4 linked regions of the Canis lupus familiaris genome follow. The main gene of each other region encodes a partner of the protein of the gene in region 2 in a complex. Links are inferred from orthologs where the notes say so. Each region holds a gene or a part of one and is shown on either strand. Other genes may lie near its edges. The genes, in order: OGT, KANSL3, PHF20 and KANSL2.

Region 1 (3,984 bases), on a different chromosome or scaffold from region 2:
CACAATGGCATCTTCTGGTAACCCATACTGAGAACGTGTGGTAACAATAATGGTACGAGGAACCTCCTCTCCAGTGGCAGCTTTATTGTTGATCTGGAACACAAAAAACAATAGGATGTTTATATTTAAAGTCAGCAGTATGTGGTATTTTTTAATTAATAAAGAATCCTTGGGGTGCCTGGGTGGCTCAGTCGTTTAGGTGTCTGGCTCCTGGCTTCAGCTCAGGTCATGATCTCAGAGTTGTGGGATCAAACCTGGCATCAAGCTCTGTGCTTAGGATTCTCTCTCTCCCTCTACCCTCCAACCCTGCTTGTGCATATATGTACACGAGCACATGCGCACATATGCTTTCTCTAATAAATAAGTCTTAAAAAAAGAATCCTTAAAATGCCAAATAGTATAACCACTAAAAGTCATGTCATTTGAACTGTGAGAAAATATTCATGACATATTAAGTTCAAGAAAGGAAAAACGTTACGGTATTATCTTAATGGGGGCAAGCGGAAGACTTTACCTTGAAACTTATCACTCAAGCCAAAAAGTTCTTTTCAAAATCTTATTAATCTAACAGCAAGCTTTTGCTCACTTTTTTAATGAATGTCCTTTTCTAAATCACATCCATCCTTGAAAGTTAAATTATTCCTCCAAACCATCTTCACTGTGTCTCCTCACATTGATCACCACTATTTTTAAGTATCTATGTACACAATTATAGTCTTACCTTGCAATTCCCATACATCGAGGTACTGCCTTATATTGTTATCTAACTATTCCAGGTAGGTTTCATACATTTGGGCATCATGTTCTACACCCAAAGTTCTCTGTCCCTGTGTATTTCAAGAACTATATACTTTTTTTTCCTTAGGTCAAACACGCCTATTGTTTCAAATGACAGTTAATCAGAGATTAAGAAAAAATATGGCACTGTCTTTTTAGCCCAATAAACCTTGTAAATGATTATTAATTCCTTTATCTTAACAGGAACTTGCCTGAGAGAAAAAGAGTTCATTTTAAGCATCCATGGTATAAACTGTTATACCACTAAAACTGTTAACTCCTAAGAGAGAGATCCTTGCCTTATAATCTCTTGACAGAGATACATATTCACTTATTCCAATATGCAACATGTTTATTGAACACATACAACATTACTGTGGCTAAGGTATGGGCCCTAAAGTAATTCAATTCAGGGAAGAATACACAAACATAGGGAATTATAACATGCTGTGCTGGATGTAAAAATGCATTTCAAATATTACAAAAGCAGAGAAGACAGGTGCCAATGGAACAGGGAAGGCAAGATTACTAATAGAGACAGGAATAGATCCTGGAGGAGCTGTATGAACTGAAAGTCTTCAAAGGGAGTAAGATTTAACTAAGGGAAAGAATTGAGTTACAGAAGCAAGAAACTGTACGAGGTCTACAGATAATTCACCGCTGATAAGAGGAAAGCTACAGGCAGGAAGTAACATATTATTAACACAGTAGACCCTCATTAAGTGATCTAATGACTGAATCCAAGAGCCTTTTAAAATAAAAGGCTAGGGCAGCTCTTGTGGCGCAGCGGTTTAGCGCCACCTGCAGCCCGGGGTGTGATCCTGGAGACCCGAGATTGGGTCCCACGTCAGGATCCCTGCATGGAGCCTGCTTCTCCCTCTGCCTGTGTCTCTGCCTCTCTCTCTCACTCTGAATAAATAAATAAATAATTTTTTTTTTAAAAAAAAAGAGCACTTCCAAGGAATTTCCAATACAATAAATTACTTATAAAAAATAAAGTAAAATAAAAAATAAAACACTAATAAAAAGCCTTTAAAAATAAAAGGCTTGTAAGATGTCAATTTCCACCACTCATTTCCTCAATATAAGACAGGGATAATGGTGCTTACATCTCCTAGAGTTATTAGATTTAAAGAAGATAAATGAGGGCAGCCCCAGGAGCTCAGAGGTTTAACGCCACCTTCAGCCCAGAGTGTGATCGTGGATATCCAGGATTGGGTCCCACATTGGGCTCCTTGCACGGAGCCTGCTTCTGCCTGTGTCTGTGCCCCCCTCTCTCTCTCTCTCTCATGAATGAATAAATAAAATCTTAAAAAAATAAGATAAATGAATACTTGGTGGTATTATGCTCTATTATTCTCTTCTCACCTGGGTAGTTGCTAGTCCATTGCTAATACTGAATCCATTAATTGTTATCTGAATTTGCCCCCTGTTAATCATCTCGATAACCGCTTCTGCAATAGTATTCATAGGAATAACGGGCATATTAAGAGCTGTATTACTGCTGTCTCCATTGTCTCCTCCGTCAGGACATTTCATCTTTAAGAAAAAAATGACAAGATGTATCATTAGGGAAAAGATCCCAAATGCAGATAACTTTATTTCAATGACGATATTGACCAGGTTCTGACCTTGACAATTTTCACATCCGGCAGACTATCAAGAAATGCTTTGAGGTCAATGCCATTCAGAACAATCCGATTATCATAAATGTGGCCATTGGACTTAAAATCGATGACAGCTTTTTTCTAATCAAAAAAAAGTTTGAGACTCTTTTAGGATGCATAGGGACAACAGCAAGGAAATAAACGACTACAGTTCTTTGCAATGTCCACATAGCACTGTTTTTCTACCTTCAAGTGAGGGAACATATTCGCATGATCACCAATAAAGAAAGTATGGGGCATATAAGCCAGTTTCTCAGAATACTGCTCAGCAACTTCAGCTGGTGAAGTTTCCTGATCAGTGATGATATAATCCATGAAAAGCGCACCACTGGTCCCAGGGTATCCCAGCCACATTGCCTAAAAGATTAAAAAAAAAAAAATCAGGCCAAAAGCTAAAAAGCCTCACCAAAAGAGTTCAAAATAATAAACAAACAAATAAGGAGGGTTGACTTCTTTAGCTAGGAGGAATCAAGTAGTATTTCAGCCTAACCTTCTCAGTGTTAAACGTTTTCCCAATTTAAAAAACCGAACTGTTCGTATTCAACTATGAATTGCATATCTCTATACAAATGTACCTGTGGGCACTGTGTTCTACATTAAAATTTCTTTGTCTTGGGACACCTGGGTGGCTCAGTGGTTGAGCATCTGCCTTTGGTCACAATCCCAGGGTCCTGGGATCTAGTCCCGCATCAGGCTCCCCGCAGGGAGCCTGCTTCTCCCTCTGCCTATGTCTCTGCCCCTCTCTATGTATCGCTCATGCATAAATAAAAATCTTTAAAAATAAAAAATAATAAAATTCATTGTCCCTGTGCATTTCAAGAACTATACTTTTATTAAGTCAAGCATATCTGCCCTATTGTTTTAAATGCCAAGCAACTGGAGGGTGGAAAAAAATCACCATCTTTATAGCTTAATAAACATTGTAAGCAATTACTATTAGTTCCTTTACCTGAATAGGAGCAGGCCTGAGAGCAAAGAGTTCATTTCGAGCACCCTTGGTATAACCATTCATATTGACAAGGATGTGTATACCATCCTGATGGATGCGATCAGCTGCTTTTCCATTGCATGGAATCTATGCAATAAAAAACAGAACTCACTATGTATAATCTCAAACTAATTCAATAAGTTTTAATGGCATTAAATAGAATTCAGAGTCACAGGTACAAAACATAGTAAGAAGACAAATTACATTTATGCAGTATAAAAATATGGTTAAGTCATGAGAGACTCCTGACTCTGTGAAACACAGGGTTGCAGAATGGGAGGTCAGTGGGGGGGTAGAATAACTGGGTGATAGGCATTAAGGAGGGCATATGATGTGATGAGCACTTAGTGTTACGCTATATGTTGGCAAATTGAATTTAAATTTAAAAAATGTGGGGATCCCTGGGTGGCTCAGCGGTTTAGCGCCTGTCTTTGGCCCAGGGCATGATCCTGGAGTCCCGGGATCGAATCCCACATCGGGCTCCTTGCACGGAGCCTCCTTTTCCCTCTGCTTCTCTCTCATGAATAAATAAAAATCAATCAATCAATCAAT
Region 2 (4,556 bases):
CCTAGGTGTCCCTGTCTCCTTTCTCCCTATTGCCTCCCCACTCTCTGACCTTCCATCTTTCCTCTGGGTCCAGAGGGCTCTGTGTTGCATTGCACAGGCTCTCTGAAGCATTGGGTCTCTTTCTTTGGGCTGGTCTCTGCACCTGCCTCCATCAGCGTTATTTCAGTTGTCTCACTCCTGCCCTGAGAGGCAACCAAAATGAGTTGAACCAATCCACTAATATTCTAAAATGACTGGACTTGACTTTGCCTTCTCCACCTCAGGATCACCTCCAGTTAAATTTAGCCTGGGGGTGTGGTGTGTGTGCATGTTTGTGGTATACAGCTGGGTAATGAATCAAATGCCAAGGGGACCAAGGATGCCTAGTGAAGGTGGCCAGAGTGAGGGCATATGCAGCCCCCATGCCTGCCATGCTAGAACGTGAATCCTGTGCTGCCACAGCCTCCAACTTTTTAAGAGAGTCCAGAAATCTGGATTTTTACATAAAATATCCTTAGTTTAAAATGTTTGCAACCAGGAATGCCTGGGTAGCTCAGTTGGTTAAGCACCCAACTCTTGATGTCAGGTCAGGTCGTGCTCTCAGAGTCTTGAGATCAAGCCCAGCCTGGGTTCTGTGCCCAGAGAGGAGTCTGTTGAAAATTCTCTCTCCCAAGGATCCCTGGGTGGCTCAGTGGTTTGGCACCTGCCTTGGGCCCAGGGCGTGATCCTGGAGTCCCAGGATTGAGTCCCACGTTGGGCTCCCTGCATGGAGCCTGCTCCTCCCTCTGCGTATGTCTCTGCCTCTCTCTTTCTCTGTCTCTCATGAATAAACAAAATCTTTAAAAAATAAAATGAAATTCTCTCTCCCTCTCCCTCTGCCCTTCCTCCACTCACTCACTAGTGTGCACGGTCTCTTACTCTCAAAAAACAAACAAACAAACAAAAATTTGCAATGAAATAAAGTTTTGAGAAAGCAGTGGGCATACTAAAGAACATGGTGTTGGGCTGTCCTTGGCCCACTTGCCATCCCCACCTAGGCCCCAACTAACCTTTCCAATCCCTCTGCAATGGCCTGGTCCTTCAGAGTCCAACGTTAGGTGACTTCCCTTCAAGACACCCCCCCAATCCCTTCGTTGTAGGACACCCTGGGGGGCCCTCATGGTAATCACCATCCTGAGATCTCTTTGTGCGCCTGACAGGTAGGGCATTACCCAGTTCATTCTCCCAGCCCCCGCCCCTCCCCCGGGGGGGAAGTATTTGCACATTCAGGGGTGAGGGCGACGCTGAGATCTTGCTGGGGTCGTAAAGCCAAGGGGTTTCGGGTCGGAGCTGAGATTCCAACCCCCTGAGCCTGATCTCTACCTGGAGCGGCACTGCCCCCTCAGACGCCTCAGCAGCAGGAGCCTTTTCGACTCTGCATTCAGGGCGGACTTCTGCGCTCGAGAGCCGCGCGCCTCCGGGCGCTCCTCTTCCCGCCCCTGGGGCCGCAGGCGCTCACTCCCTTTCCGGGTTTTGCCGCTCACCACCCTTCTCGGGAGGGAATCCGCTTCCGCGTTTTGCGGGGCGCCGGGCGTGGAGGCGGTAACGCGCACGCGCGCAGGGATTCGGCCCGGGCCGAGCGCGCGGCCCGGCGATTGCGGGTGAGGGCAGGGCCGGCCCCGGCGGGGTGGCGGCTCGGGCGGGTCGCGGCCCGGCCCGGGCGAGCGGGAGTGTGGGCGAGGGCTTCAGGGCTCCCGGGGCATGCGGGGGCTGGGGGCTAGAGCCCGGGGCCGGGCGGCGGGGGCAGAGGCGGGCCGCCGTGAGGCGGGCGCCCGGCCGGGCCCGGGCCCGTGACGCGGGCGGGAGGCGGGTGCGAGGCGGCTCCTCCTCGTCGCGAACTCTCGGTGACCTTGGCCGAGTCGCTTCTGTGCCCCGAGCTGGCGCCTCCGTCCGTAAAGTGCGAATTATAAGCCCCGCCCGCCAGATGGGGCGCTTGGAGGCTCGGCGGCGAGACCCCGAGGGGTACGTGGGGCGCCGGGCGGTTTGCCGCGGACGATCCACCGGGGCGGGGGCAGGGCGCCTCCTGGCTTCGCGTTTTGCTGCGTGCCCGGGGCAGGAGCCCTCGTTGGCGTGTTTTGGGGACTCTAGACTATTACAAAGTAGTTGCAAAACTTTTAACCTACGAAAGAGGCCCAGGCCCTGCTGTAGGGGGGGTGCTCCCTCGGGCGCGGAGCTGGCTCCACGAAGGTGTCGGGGTGGGCCGAAGCCGCGGAGCGGGGGAGACCCTCCGTCCTGGGGGAATTAGTGTCTGTGAGTCCCGTGGTTTGCCCAAGCCCTGCCTGCTGCCCGCCCGCCCGCCCGCCCAAGAGTTTGTGGTGCTGGCCAAGCAAGTTTAGCATGTGTCCATGTGAGGCCTTTGTGAACAGTGGAGCCAGCGGGCTCTCCGTAAACGCTGAATTTTGTAGAGTGAATATGGAGGATCCTATGGCGCCCATAGTTTTTTTTTTGGGGGGGAGGGGGGAGTGGTGTGGGATCTCGGGAGCCCTTCCTATGATGGGCAAGGGTCTGCGGCGTAGTGGATTACCCAGTTCCGAATGATAGAAAGTCACAAAAGTGAGAAGCATGCATATTCGATACTCTAGGTTGGAAGAGATTTAGGATCTTTGAATGGACTTAAACCGAAACTTTTTCGCTGCAGGTGACTAGCATGCAGATACCCATTCTCTGACTTGCTGGCCCTCTACTGACATGGCCCACCGCGGTGGGGAGAGGGACTTCCAGACTTCAGCGCGGCGCATGGGCACCTCGCTGCTCTTTCAGCTTTCAGTGCACGAGCGGGAGCTGGACCTGGTTTTTCTGGATCATAGCTATGCCAAGCCATGGAGTGCCCACCCAGATGCCAGTAGTGCCCGCCCCACGCGCATGCTCTTTGTTACTCCCCGGAGGCAGCACGAAAGTACCATGTGAGTTTGGGCTTCTCTGTCCCCAGGGCTGCCCTTGCCCTAACTGGACAGTCACCAGATGGTGGGGATTAGAGAGGATTTTATTGTGGGCGATTGTATGGGGGCCTTGGATGTTCACTTCAGGTATCCCGCCTCTAATGTAGACATCTGCATTCAAGACCTCTAACAAGTTGGGAAAGCAAACAACGTATCCCCATAGTAAATAGGACTTGTATGGAAAGAGGATTATTTAGCTGGCGAAGAAAAAGACTGAAGAATTGAGTTTTAAAAATCGCCGCTCATGATTAGACTCCTTTCTTTTAGTCCAGTGTTCTGGCTTGCTCCAACACTGGCAACAATGACTTTTTTAAGGGAATGCGATTTCTTTTTCCTGGCTTCACCCAGCAAAGTTTAGGAGCTTTTCCAAGACCTTGCTTTCAGCTTGTCACCCATGGGTTGATACTAACCCTTCCTAGGTGTGATTGTATTTTCAACTGGCTTACATTATAGGGTAAGGATTTTTTTCATAAACTTACTGTGTAATATGTGATACAATTACATTTGGCCTAAATCAGCTTGTTTAGCACTTCTTTTGAGCTTTAAGGTATTCTAATTTTATTTCAAGATCAGTTGATATATACTATTTTGATGATCAAATCATGCCCTTAATTTGTTAACTTTTTTTGGGGGGAAGAGATTTTTTCTTTGTTTGTTTTAATCTAATCGAATGTCTAATGTTTCCTCTAGGACAAGTTTTAGGTTTGTTGGTGAATAGAAATCTTGTATTTTGCTTCTTTTTACCTCCCATTGAGCCTTAATGAGCTAGAGGTACCATGATATGTGTGTGTGTGTGTGTGTGTGTGTGTGTGTGTTTAAGATTTTATTTATTTATTCATGAGAGACACAGAGAAACAGAGAGGCAGAGACACAGGCAGAGGGAGAAGCAGGCTCCACGCAGGGAGCCCTACACGCGACTTGATCCCGGGTCCCCAGGATCACGCCCCGGGCCGAAGACTGCGCTAAACTGCCTAGCCACCCAGGCTGCCCCTGATGTGTGTGTTTTAAATGAGAATAGAATAGTTGGTTTTACTTTATTTCCCAATGAGGGCAGTATTTGGTTGGCTGTTTTAGTTGTAACAGGGTAGGGGAATCTGTGACTTTTAGGGATAATCTAGCATAATCTTGATGCCTCTGGCATGGGGCATAACTGCAAGAGCTCCTTTATAGCTTCTTGCTAACATTGAAACTCCTGTGTTGGGATGTTTGTGATGTTTGTGATGTTTTCTTAAAGTGAGATTCCGAGGACTTGCTCATTTCAGTACTTAGAAAATTATTACCTCTTATAAACCATCTCCATGTATAGGTCCTGAAAATGGGAATTAGCATGTTCTAGGGACTTTTTAGGTCATTCTGTCTGGAATATGGTTTGTAGTGAGGGTGTTAGTGGGAGCTAGGGAAGTTGGTGGAGGCTACCTCATATAGGAATTTGATGCTAAGAGTGGTAAGAGGTCATTAAAGGATTTTAAACTAGAGATTGGATTTATATCACTTTGAATTTTTGTTGAGTAGATATAGCTCAGGAGTGGACATAGAAGACCTGCTAGGAGACCATTGCAGTAATGGGGGCCAGAGATCATGATAGGTTGAATAGGGGCA
Region 3 (3,984 bases), on a different chromosome or scaffold from region 2:
AAACCAAGCTGGAAAAAAAAAAAAAAAAAAAAAAAAAAAAAAAAAAACCAAGCTGGAGTCGGGATGCCTAGGTGGCTCAGTGGTTGAGCATCTGCCTTTTGCTCAGGGTGTGATCCTGGGGTCCTGGGATCAAGTCCCACATCGGGCTCTCCGCAGGGGGCCTGCTTCTCCCTCTGCCTATGTCTCTGCCTTTCTCTCATGAATAAATAAAATCTTTTAAAAACAAACAAACAAACAAAAAAAAAAAACAAAGAAAAAAAAAAACAAGCTGGCAACTTCCTAGGGATCAAAAAAGACTAAACTTGAGCATGATCATCAGGCCCATCTACTACCTCTAACACCTGGGAGAAATACCCAGGGTTACCCAAATGATTCAGTCAAGTTCTTAAACCTCTACTGATAAAGAAGAGAAGGCTTCAGTTTAGATTTGATGAAAGGCCAAAATAAAAGGTTTCTTCAGATTAATCCTCAAAGACATCCAAAACAATATTAAGTCCAAGCTGAAATTCCCCATGGAACTCCACCGGCAAAGATTTGCTCAGGTTGCACACAGCCTGTAGGCAGAGTCTAGTTACACTTTTGCACTCTGTTTTGCAGAAGGCACTAGGTAAGTTAAGGACTCCTGACATTACACAGACCTTAGGTGCCTGAGGGGGCGGATGTGGGTGGAGGAGGCTGGAAAAAAAAAAAAAAAAAAAAAGAGGCAAGAATGCAGCATCTGTGGGAGAGCCAGAGATGCAGCCCTACCATCCAGCTCCTTCTCAATGGAGTCCATCCGATGCGTGACTTCGTCCTGAAGGGATTCCACATGGGTCAGCAGGTTAAACTGCCACTGATGCTGGGAGCTCAGCAGCCCCTCTCCGCCTCTGTCCAGCAGCTTCCGAGTAGGGGCTTCCTCGGGTAGGACCTTTTTGGAGACATATTCTCTCACCTAGGAATGGAATGGTATTTAAATTACTGTGTGGAGACTGCTCCCAGCCCATTCTCCAACTAGCCAGTGTTTGCAATCATCTGAAAAACCAGCTGCAGTCTGAATATTCCAAACCTCTATCTATCTCCCTCTCCTGTCTTGGACACCAGGCAGAAGTATGCCTGGGGCAGCAATCACAAACACCTTAGGGCATCAAGAGGCCTCACAACTGCTTCCTAGTGACTGGCCCAATGCTCCAGACCCAAAATAGGCCTCACAGAATGGCTTCTAGAGCCCTGAGATCAGAGTAGAACAGGATGGGTGCAGACAGGAATTAGTATGTTACTTAGCAGGACTCAGACAAACTAGTTTTAAGTCCTAGCTTCTTGTCTTGCTGAATGTGTGAGCCTAGATTAGTTACTTTTCCTCTCTGAGCCTCTGTTCTCTTATGGGAAAGATGCAAGTAGTGAAACCCAATTTTTAGGTTCATGAGAATGAAATATATAAGGTTTATAAAACACCATGCTGGCCTATGGTCAGCTTGCCATGAATGAAAGATATTTTTAATCCTAGCTGCCTTGTTTAGGCCTCGTATTTTCTGACTTTTTATTACGTGGCAGATGTCTTTAGGAAATCTGCCTAGTTTTACGATCACAAATGGTTTCTACCGTTTGTGATCTCAACCTTTCATTCATTCATTCGAAATGAAAAAGTTGAGCTAATATTTATTAGAGCTGACTGTGCAAAGCTCTGTACTGACGGTTTTTCGCAGACACACTGCACAGTAACTAGAGGGATGGGCACTGGCCCCTCCCACAGATAGGTGAAGAGACACATCTAAGGATGCTGACCTGCTCAGCATCACACAGTAAATGGCTAAGCCCAGACATGACACTGGGTCTGTCTCCAAAGACCAACCTCACCAACCATGACCAGCACTGGCAAGGGGACAGGCTGAAAGAGGTACAGTGCCCACCCGTGAGTGGCTTATCATTTAGGATGTCCCACTTGGCAACATGCAGTAACATATCTAAATGCTGATGATGCCAGCCACAGGGTAAAATTTAAAAGAAAATTTAAAAGGAAGGATGATGATGGTGGAGAAGCTCTCCACTTACACAAAGCCTCACTGACCAACTGAGGACAGGACAGAAGGGCATAAGTGAACAGTTAAAGATGACAATATTGGCAGGAAAATGACACAAAGAGGCTCTAGAAGAGCATGGTTCGAGTAACAAAAAACTGAGTTTTTCTTGGGCAAGCTGATGAAACCATTAAATATTCTGACGAAATGGACTGTTTTTATGTCAGGGCTACAAAGTTAAAAGCCAAAGTAAAGCTATCATACAATTGTACTGAAAAACTTATGCCTAACAAAACATTTTACTCATTCTTTGCTCATGCTAAGACTTAGCAGCTAGGTGCAATTACAACATAAACGCCATTAAAGAAAAAAAACAATTTTCCTACCTAACTTCCATTTATCAAGTGTCAACACTATCCTTCTCAATTCTTCCCACCTCTCCACCTCCCACCCCTAGTGACTATGTCATTTTGTGGGCATTTCCTGGAACCTGTGATCTCTGGTTTAATTGGGCTCTCCTGACTTTACAACCATTTTAACTGACCAGAAAACACCTATGATAAGCAAATTTATTTTTTTTATTTTTTTTTTTTTGATAAGCAAATTTAAATACAATTTTACAAAAAGCATCTTTCAGGGCAGCCCGGATGGCTCAGCAGTTTAGCGCTGCCTTCGGCCCAGGGCATAATCCTGAAGACCTGGGATCGAGTCCTGCATCAGGCTCCCTGCATGGAGTCTGCTTCTCCCTCTGCCTATGTCTCTGCCTCTCTTTCTCTCTGTGTCTCTGATGAATAAATAAAATCTTAAAAAAAAAAAAAAAGCATCTTCCACAGAACCCTACAAGTGGAGCTCAAGCACTCAAATACTAAATTAAGAACAAGTACAAGTGAGCCACATACCTTTAGGGAGCTAGATTTGGAGTCACTGTCCCCCCTACTCCTGTCTTGGTCTAGAGGCCAGCCCAGACGTGGAGAGAGAGAATCATCACCATTCTCATGGAGGGGGTTGACTGCATCGTCGAGGGCAGAGCCCCGAGTCTCCACCACCAGCTTCTGCTCCACAGCAGGGTAATAGGCACGGGGCTTCTGATAACAATGCTCGCTAGTAATATAGGACTCCTCCATAGACCGGGGTATGGGGAGGGGCAAGGGCTTCTCCACTGCCCCATTCAAAGTTCTATAGCTCAGGACTTCCTCTTTGCTCTTGGCTTCAGTGACGTGGATGTGTTTCGAATGAGATCTCCCCTCCCCTGAGTGCTGTTTCCAAGGCTGACACCACAGCTGCAGATCAGGATGCTCCCTGCTTCTGTTGGGAGGACAAACACAGAAAGGGCTTTGGAGTAACTGCGACCACTGCAGTGGCTTCTCAATTCCCACTCTCCCAATAGGAAGAAGAACTCCCCACTTGGGCCATCTGGCCACAAGCCACCATTTGCTAAGCAAAAGGGAATATAAATTCATGGTCTCTGAGGAGATCACGGGCAGGCAAGCTCCTGCTGTGAACACTCATGGTAAGATTAGACTTGGGAGTCAGAAGACTTGACTGCATTTCAGTTCAGCCACTGATCAGCAGTGCAGCTGTATTAAGTCACTCAGCCAGACTCATTCCCATTCCCTCCTCTGCAAAACTAGGCTAAGTATTTGTCTGCCTTTAGCCAACGACTTTGGTAAAGATTAAGTGCATTAATCCAAATAAAAGTAGTTTGTTAGCAAAGTACTCTTCAAATGTGAGTTACTAAAACTAACCAAATAAGCAGGCATGATAATCCTGGCATGCAATAACTTTCAGTTACATTCAGTAACCTGGATGCCTCAGTTGGTTAAGTCTGACTTTGGCTCAGGTCATGATCTCAGGGTCCTGGGATCGAGTCCAGCACTGGCCTCCCTGCTCAGTGGGGAGTCTGCATATCCCTCTCTGTACCTGCCCCTCTCCCCTGCTCATTCTCATTCTCTCTCTCAAATGAATAAAATCTTTTTAAAAATGCAATGAC
Region 4 (3,984 bases), on a different chromosome or scaffold from region 2:
CAAATTTAAGAATGATCACTTAACTCTGCTTCTGGGAAGCCTAGGTGGCACAGTGGTTGAGCTTCTGCCTTCAGCTCAGGGCATGATCCTGGAGTCCCAGGATTGAGTCCTGTATCAGGCTCCCTATGGGGAGCCTGCTTCTCCCTCTGCCTATGTTTCTGCCTCACTCTCTCTCTCATGAGTAAATAAATAAAATCTTAAAAAAAAAAACAAAAAAAAAAAAAAACACCTCTGCTTCCTATCAACTTAGCTCCTGACATTCTTTGCTCCTATTATTCTACCTATCCTCTCATCTTCTAAAACAAGTTTCCCAAGCAACTTACGCTTTAACCAGTCCCTATTTCTGAACTGAAGAATTTCTGAACCAAAGAACTTAGAAATCTATGGCAACCTGTAAATTTACAGAGAACAGAGGCCCAAAGAAGTTAACAGTGCAGACACAGAACTGGTCAAAAGAGAACTAAAAAAAAAAAGAGAGAGAACTAAGACTACAATTCACGTCTCTGGACTTCCACGTAAGTGTTCTTTTCAATTTACCCCACGTGCAATTAAGTCAGATTTCCGATCCAAGACTGTACAATGTTTTGACTATTACTCTAACTTGTAAACAAAGCAAATATATACCCCTTACAGATATAAACACAAATTACCTGTTGGGCAGCACCATCTGTAGCCAGCATTCTGCGCTCCTTCAGCTGCCTATGTAATAAGGCTTCCACTCCATAGCGCTGACGATACCGCCGAAGACATTTTAGACGCTTTAAGTTCTCTCGTTCTTTGGCCAAAAGTCCCTCTGGGCCAGTCAGGAGACTACTACCTGGTGAGTCACAACAGTCAAGATTTACGTGCCAAGCAACCAATAAAGGATGGCTTCCCCAATTAACAAGAAATAAACAGAGAAAACTCTGGCCATAAGATAGCCACTTTCAAAAGCAAATTCTCCTTCACTCCAGGTACCAAGACAGAAATAAATCTAACTACTACCAAATACACATTTTGAAGCCACAACAGCTTGTTGGGACTAACATTAAAACTTGCCTAGATGGGATCCCTGGGTGGCTCAGTGGTTTAGTGCCTACCTTCAGCCTAGGGCGTGATCCTGGAGTTCCAGAATCGAGTCCCACATCGGACTCCCTGCACGGAGCCTGCTTCTCCCTCTGCCTGTGTTTCTGCCTCTCTCTCTCTCTGTGTCTCTCATGAATAAATAAATAAAATCTTTTTAAAAAAAGAACACTTGCCTAGAGCTTCATGTTCCACTTTGCGATTATGTAAGTAACGTCGCTTCTTCTCTTTGAGCAGATGCTGAAGTCGTTTAAACTGATCAATGTACAAAGACTGCAAACGAATTAGCTTTTCACGCATAATCAGGGCAACTTCTTCTGCTGTGTAGACACCAGCATGTCTGGAATAAAACAGAGTTAAGCAAAAACATAAGAAAACACAAAAATAAAACCACAGCTTAAACGCAGAAAAGGGTAGAGAAGAGATTTAAGTTTCTTATTTAACAGTAAGTCAGCACAGAGACCATCACCTTATTAAATAGGAATGTTTTTACATACAGCATTCAAGTTATTAAAAAACAAAAAAAAAGTTATTAAAAAACAAAATAATAAAATCCCCAAGTATGGATACTAATTTGTGATCTCACAACATGATGAAGGCAAGAGGTTTCATTATTTTCCCCAGTTACCTGCATTATGTTTAAGAAGTGAAGACATGGAACACTCAAAGTTTTTATTAATCTACAATCTTATCCCAGTTTCATAATTTAATTGTGAAGAAATTAAAGCTATCAGAACAGCTTAAAAGTATTCAACTTAGTAGCATTTATACCTTAACCTATTTTAGTTGAAGTACAAAAGACAGTGATTTCAGTTTCTAATTTAAAATACATTCTGGGACGCTTGAGTGGCTCAGGTCATGATCCTGGGATCATAGGATCAAGTCCCACATCAGACTCTCTGCAGGGAGCCTGCTTCTCCCTCTGCCTGTGTGTCTGCCTCTTTCTCTGTATCTCTCATGAATAAATGAATGAATGAATGAATGAATGAATAAAATCTTTAACAAATAAAAACAATTAAGTAAATGGTTACTTTGAGGAAAATCACATATACATACCTACAAGAGGGGAAAGAAACTACACTAATACTAATTCTAGTTAGGATAAAATCTAATGACATCATCATAAATAATACAAAAAGCACCCTTCTGAAACAAGCAAGTAAAGAAAACATACGCTGTTAAATTGTTAATGATTCAAAAAAAATGGTCCTAGTGACAAAACACTGGCACCAGAAATGAAATTAAAAGAATTTCATTAAATAAAGAAACTTTTATTAAATTTAAGACATCAGCAATATGGAAACATATTAACAAATTTAGTATCAGGGACGCCTGGGTGGTTCAGCGGTTGAGCATCTGCCTTTGGCTCAGGGCATGATCCCAGAGTCCTGGGATCAAGTCCCACATAGGGCTCCCTGCATGGAGCCTGCTTTTCCCTCTGCCTATGTCTGCCTCTCTCTCTCTCTCTCATGAATAAATAAAATCTTAAAAAAAAAAAAAAAAAAAAAAAACTTTAGTATTATAAGATATTTAACAACTCTACTGACATCCCTAAAAATGCAAATATTTTAGAAGGCCAAAATTTTTTTTGGATCTCATAGGGGAATTAAGGAAAGCCTTATATTTAGTTGCCTATTTTATTTTCCCCTTTGAATGTTCCTTTTAGGAGACACTGACATCAAGTATCTAGTCCTTTTAACATTTATACATCTCATAAAATTAACTGGTATTTTTAAGTTACACTAGCATAAATGTGTCCCCCAGAGACTGATCCACTGTAGATTACTACTGACAAAAATCAAGTTTCTGGACCTTCAAAGCTGAGTATTTACCACACCAAAGGACAGTCACTTTGTGACCCTACAGAGCATACACCTCTTCAAAGCAGCAAGTCTGGCTTTTTTTTTTTTCTTTCAGAACCACAATGGGAGAGGAAAAAAAAAAGAATGTCTGGTATAAAATTACTGCTGAGAAAGAATCCTGCCAGTTAATGAACTTTCAAACTACTTAGATGAAACTTTCCAAACAAGATTGTTTGAACTGACACTCATTGTTTGAACTGAGTAACTGACATTACTCAAGAAAAACAGATGAAATTATTCTACTTAGCAAATGTAAACCTAAACGATTTTGTAAAAAGACTAGAAATTCATTACCTATTTACTATACTTGTATGCTGTCAATGCGAAATGTTTCTCAAAAGACAGTAGTCAAAAAGAATGAAGAAAACAAAAAAAGAAAAAACTAAACTAAACCCAAACCATGAGACAGAAATAGAAGGCAGTGAGTAGCAACGGTTTTTTTTTTTTTTCTACAACTCTTAAGGTGATCATGAACTAAGTGAAGAGCAGAATCTTAGTTAAGATATAATTAGACTGATTAGTCACTTCTAGGTTTCTAAATCAGTTTCTCTTTCTTAGGCATGAAACCAAGGAAACTCTTGAACATCTTTTTTTTTCCTACTAGAAAAAAAAAACCCTCATAAAATGTAACTTTGCAAAAAAAAAAAAAAAAAAGTAGTTATTCAAATACAATCACATTATTGTTCCTGAGGCTTAAGCCAGGAATCCATTTATATCAATTTCCTCTTCTCCAACGGATTTAAGCATTTCTCAACCAACCTCCCATTATGTCCAAGACAGTTCCTATTTTCTCCCCTAGGCTTTTTCATGTGTAGAATTTGATATCCAAAAATTTTTCCAAATTACAAGACTTCCAAAACAGAATAAAATCTTGCCCTGCAGCAAGATGGTGGTGAACCAGGACAGGACACTTTAAAATACAGAAGCTATTACTGCTCACAAAATAGCTAAACTCTCTTCACCCCTCCTAGGTTATTAATCTATTAATTGCATGCATTACTACAGTCCACATTCTAACTACAAAAAAATTTTAAAGCCTTATGTGGAGTTACAACTTACT

What was found.
Region 1: KANSL3 (region 2) and OGT share a complex: the UniProt entries of both Homo sapiens proteins name them as parts of the NSL complex. The link is inferred for Canis lupus familiaris from reciprocal best matches to the Homo sapiens genes KANSL3 and OGT.
Region 3: KANSL3 (region 2) and PHF20 share a complex: the UniProt entries of both Homo sapiens proteins name them as parts of the NSL complex. The link is inferred for Canis lupus familiaris from reciprocal best matches to the Homo sapiens genes KANSL3 and PHF20.
Region 4: KANSL3 (region 2) and KANSL2 share a complex: the UniProt entries of both Homo sapiens proteins name them as parts of the NSL complex. The link is inferred for Canis lupus familiaris from reciprocal best matches to the Homo sapiens genes KANSL3 and KANSL2.

The regions. Positions count from the first base shown.
Region 1 is NC_049260.1:56,041,125-56,045,108, reverse strand, and holds part of OGT (UDP-N-acetylglucosamine--peptide N-acetylglucosaminyltransferase 110 kDa subunit), read right to left. Parts: intron 3,520-3,984; coding exon 3,394-3,519; intron 2,802-3,393; coding exon 2,631-2,801; intron 2,526-2,630; coding exon 2,409-2,525; intron 2,317-2,408; coding exon 2,146-2,316; intron 94-2,145; coding exon 1-93. UniProt on the Homo sapiens protein: Catalyzes the transfer of a single N-acetylglucosamine from UDP-GlcNAc to a serine or threonine residue in cytoplasmic and nuclear proteins resulting in their modification with a beta-linked N-acetylglucosamine (O-GlcNAc).
Region 2 is NC_049231.1:46,372,450-46,377,005, forward strand, and holds the start of KANSL3 (KAT8 regulatory NSL complex subunit 3), read left to right. Parts: upstream 1-1,485; 5' UTR 1,486-1,619; intron 1,620-1,810; exon of another isoform or gene 1,811-1,980; intron 1,981-2,656; 5' UTR 2,657-2,706; coding exon 2,707-2,921; intron 2,922-2,939; exon of another isoform or gene 2,940-3,411; intron 3,412-4,556. UniProt on the Homo sapiens protein: Non-catalytic component of the NSL histone acetyltransferase complex, a multiprotein complex that mediates histone H4 acetylation at 'Lys-5'- and 'Lys-8' (H4K5ac and H4K8ac) at transcription start sites and promotes transcription initiation.
Region 3 is NC_049245.1:25,372,076-25,376,059, reverse strand, and holds part of PHF20 (PHD finger protein 20), read right to left. Parts: intron 3,300-3,984; coding exon 2,894-3,299; intron 932-2,893; coding exon 748-931; intron 1-747. UniProt on the Homo sapiens protein: Methyllysine-binding protein, component of the MOF histone acetyltransferase protein complex.
Region 4 is NC_049248.1:40,817,097-40,821,080, forward strand, and holds part of KANSL2 (KAT8 regulatory NSL complex subunit 2), read right to left. Parts: coding exon 3,984-3,984; intron 1,403-3,983; coding exon 1,239-1,402; intron 818-1,238; coding exon 651-817; intron 1-650. UniProt on the Homo sapiens protein: Non-catalytic component of the NSL histone acetyltransferase complex, a multiprotein complex that mediates histone H4 acetylation at 'Lys-5'- and 'Lys-8' (H4K5ac and H4K8ac) at transcription start sites and promotes transcription initiation.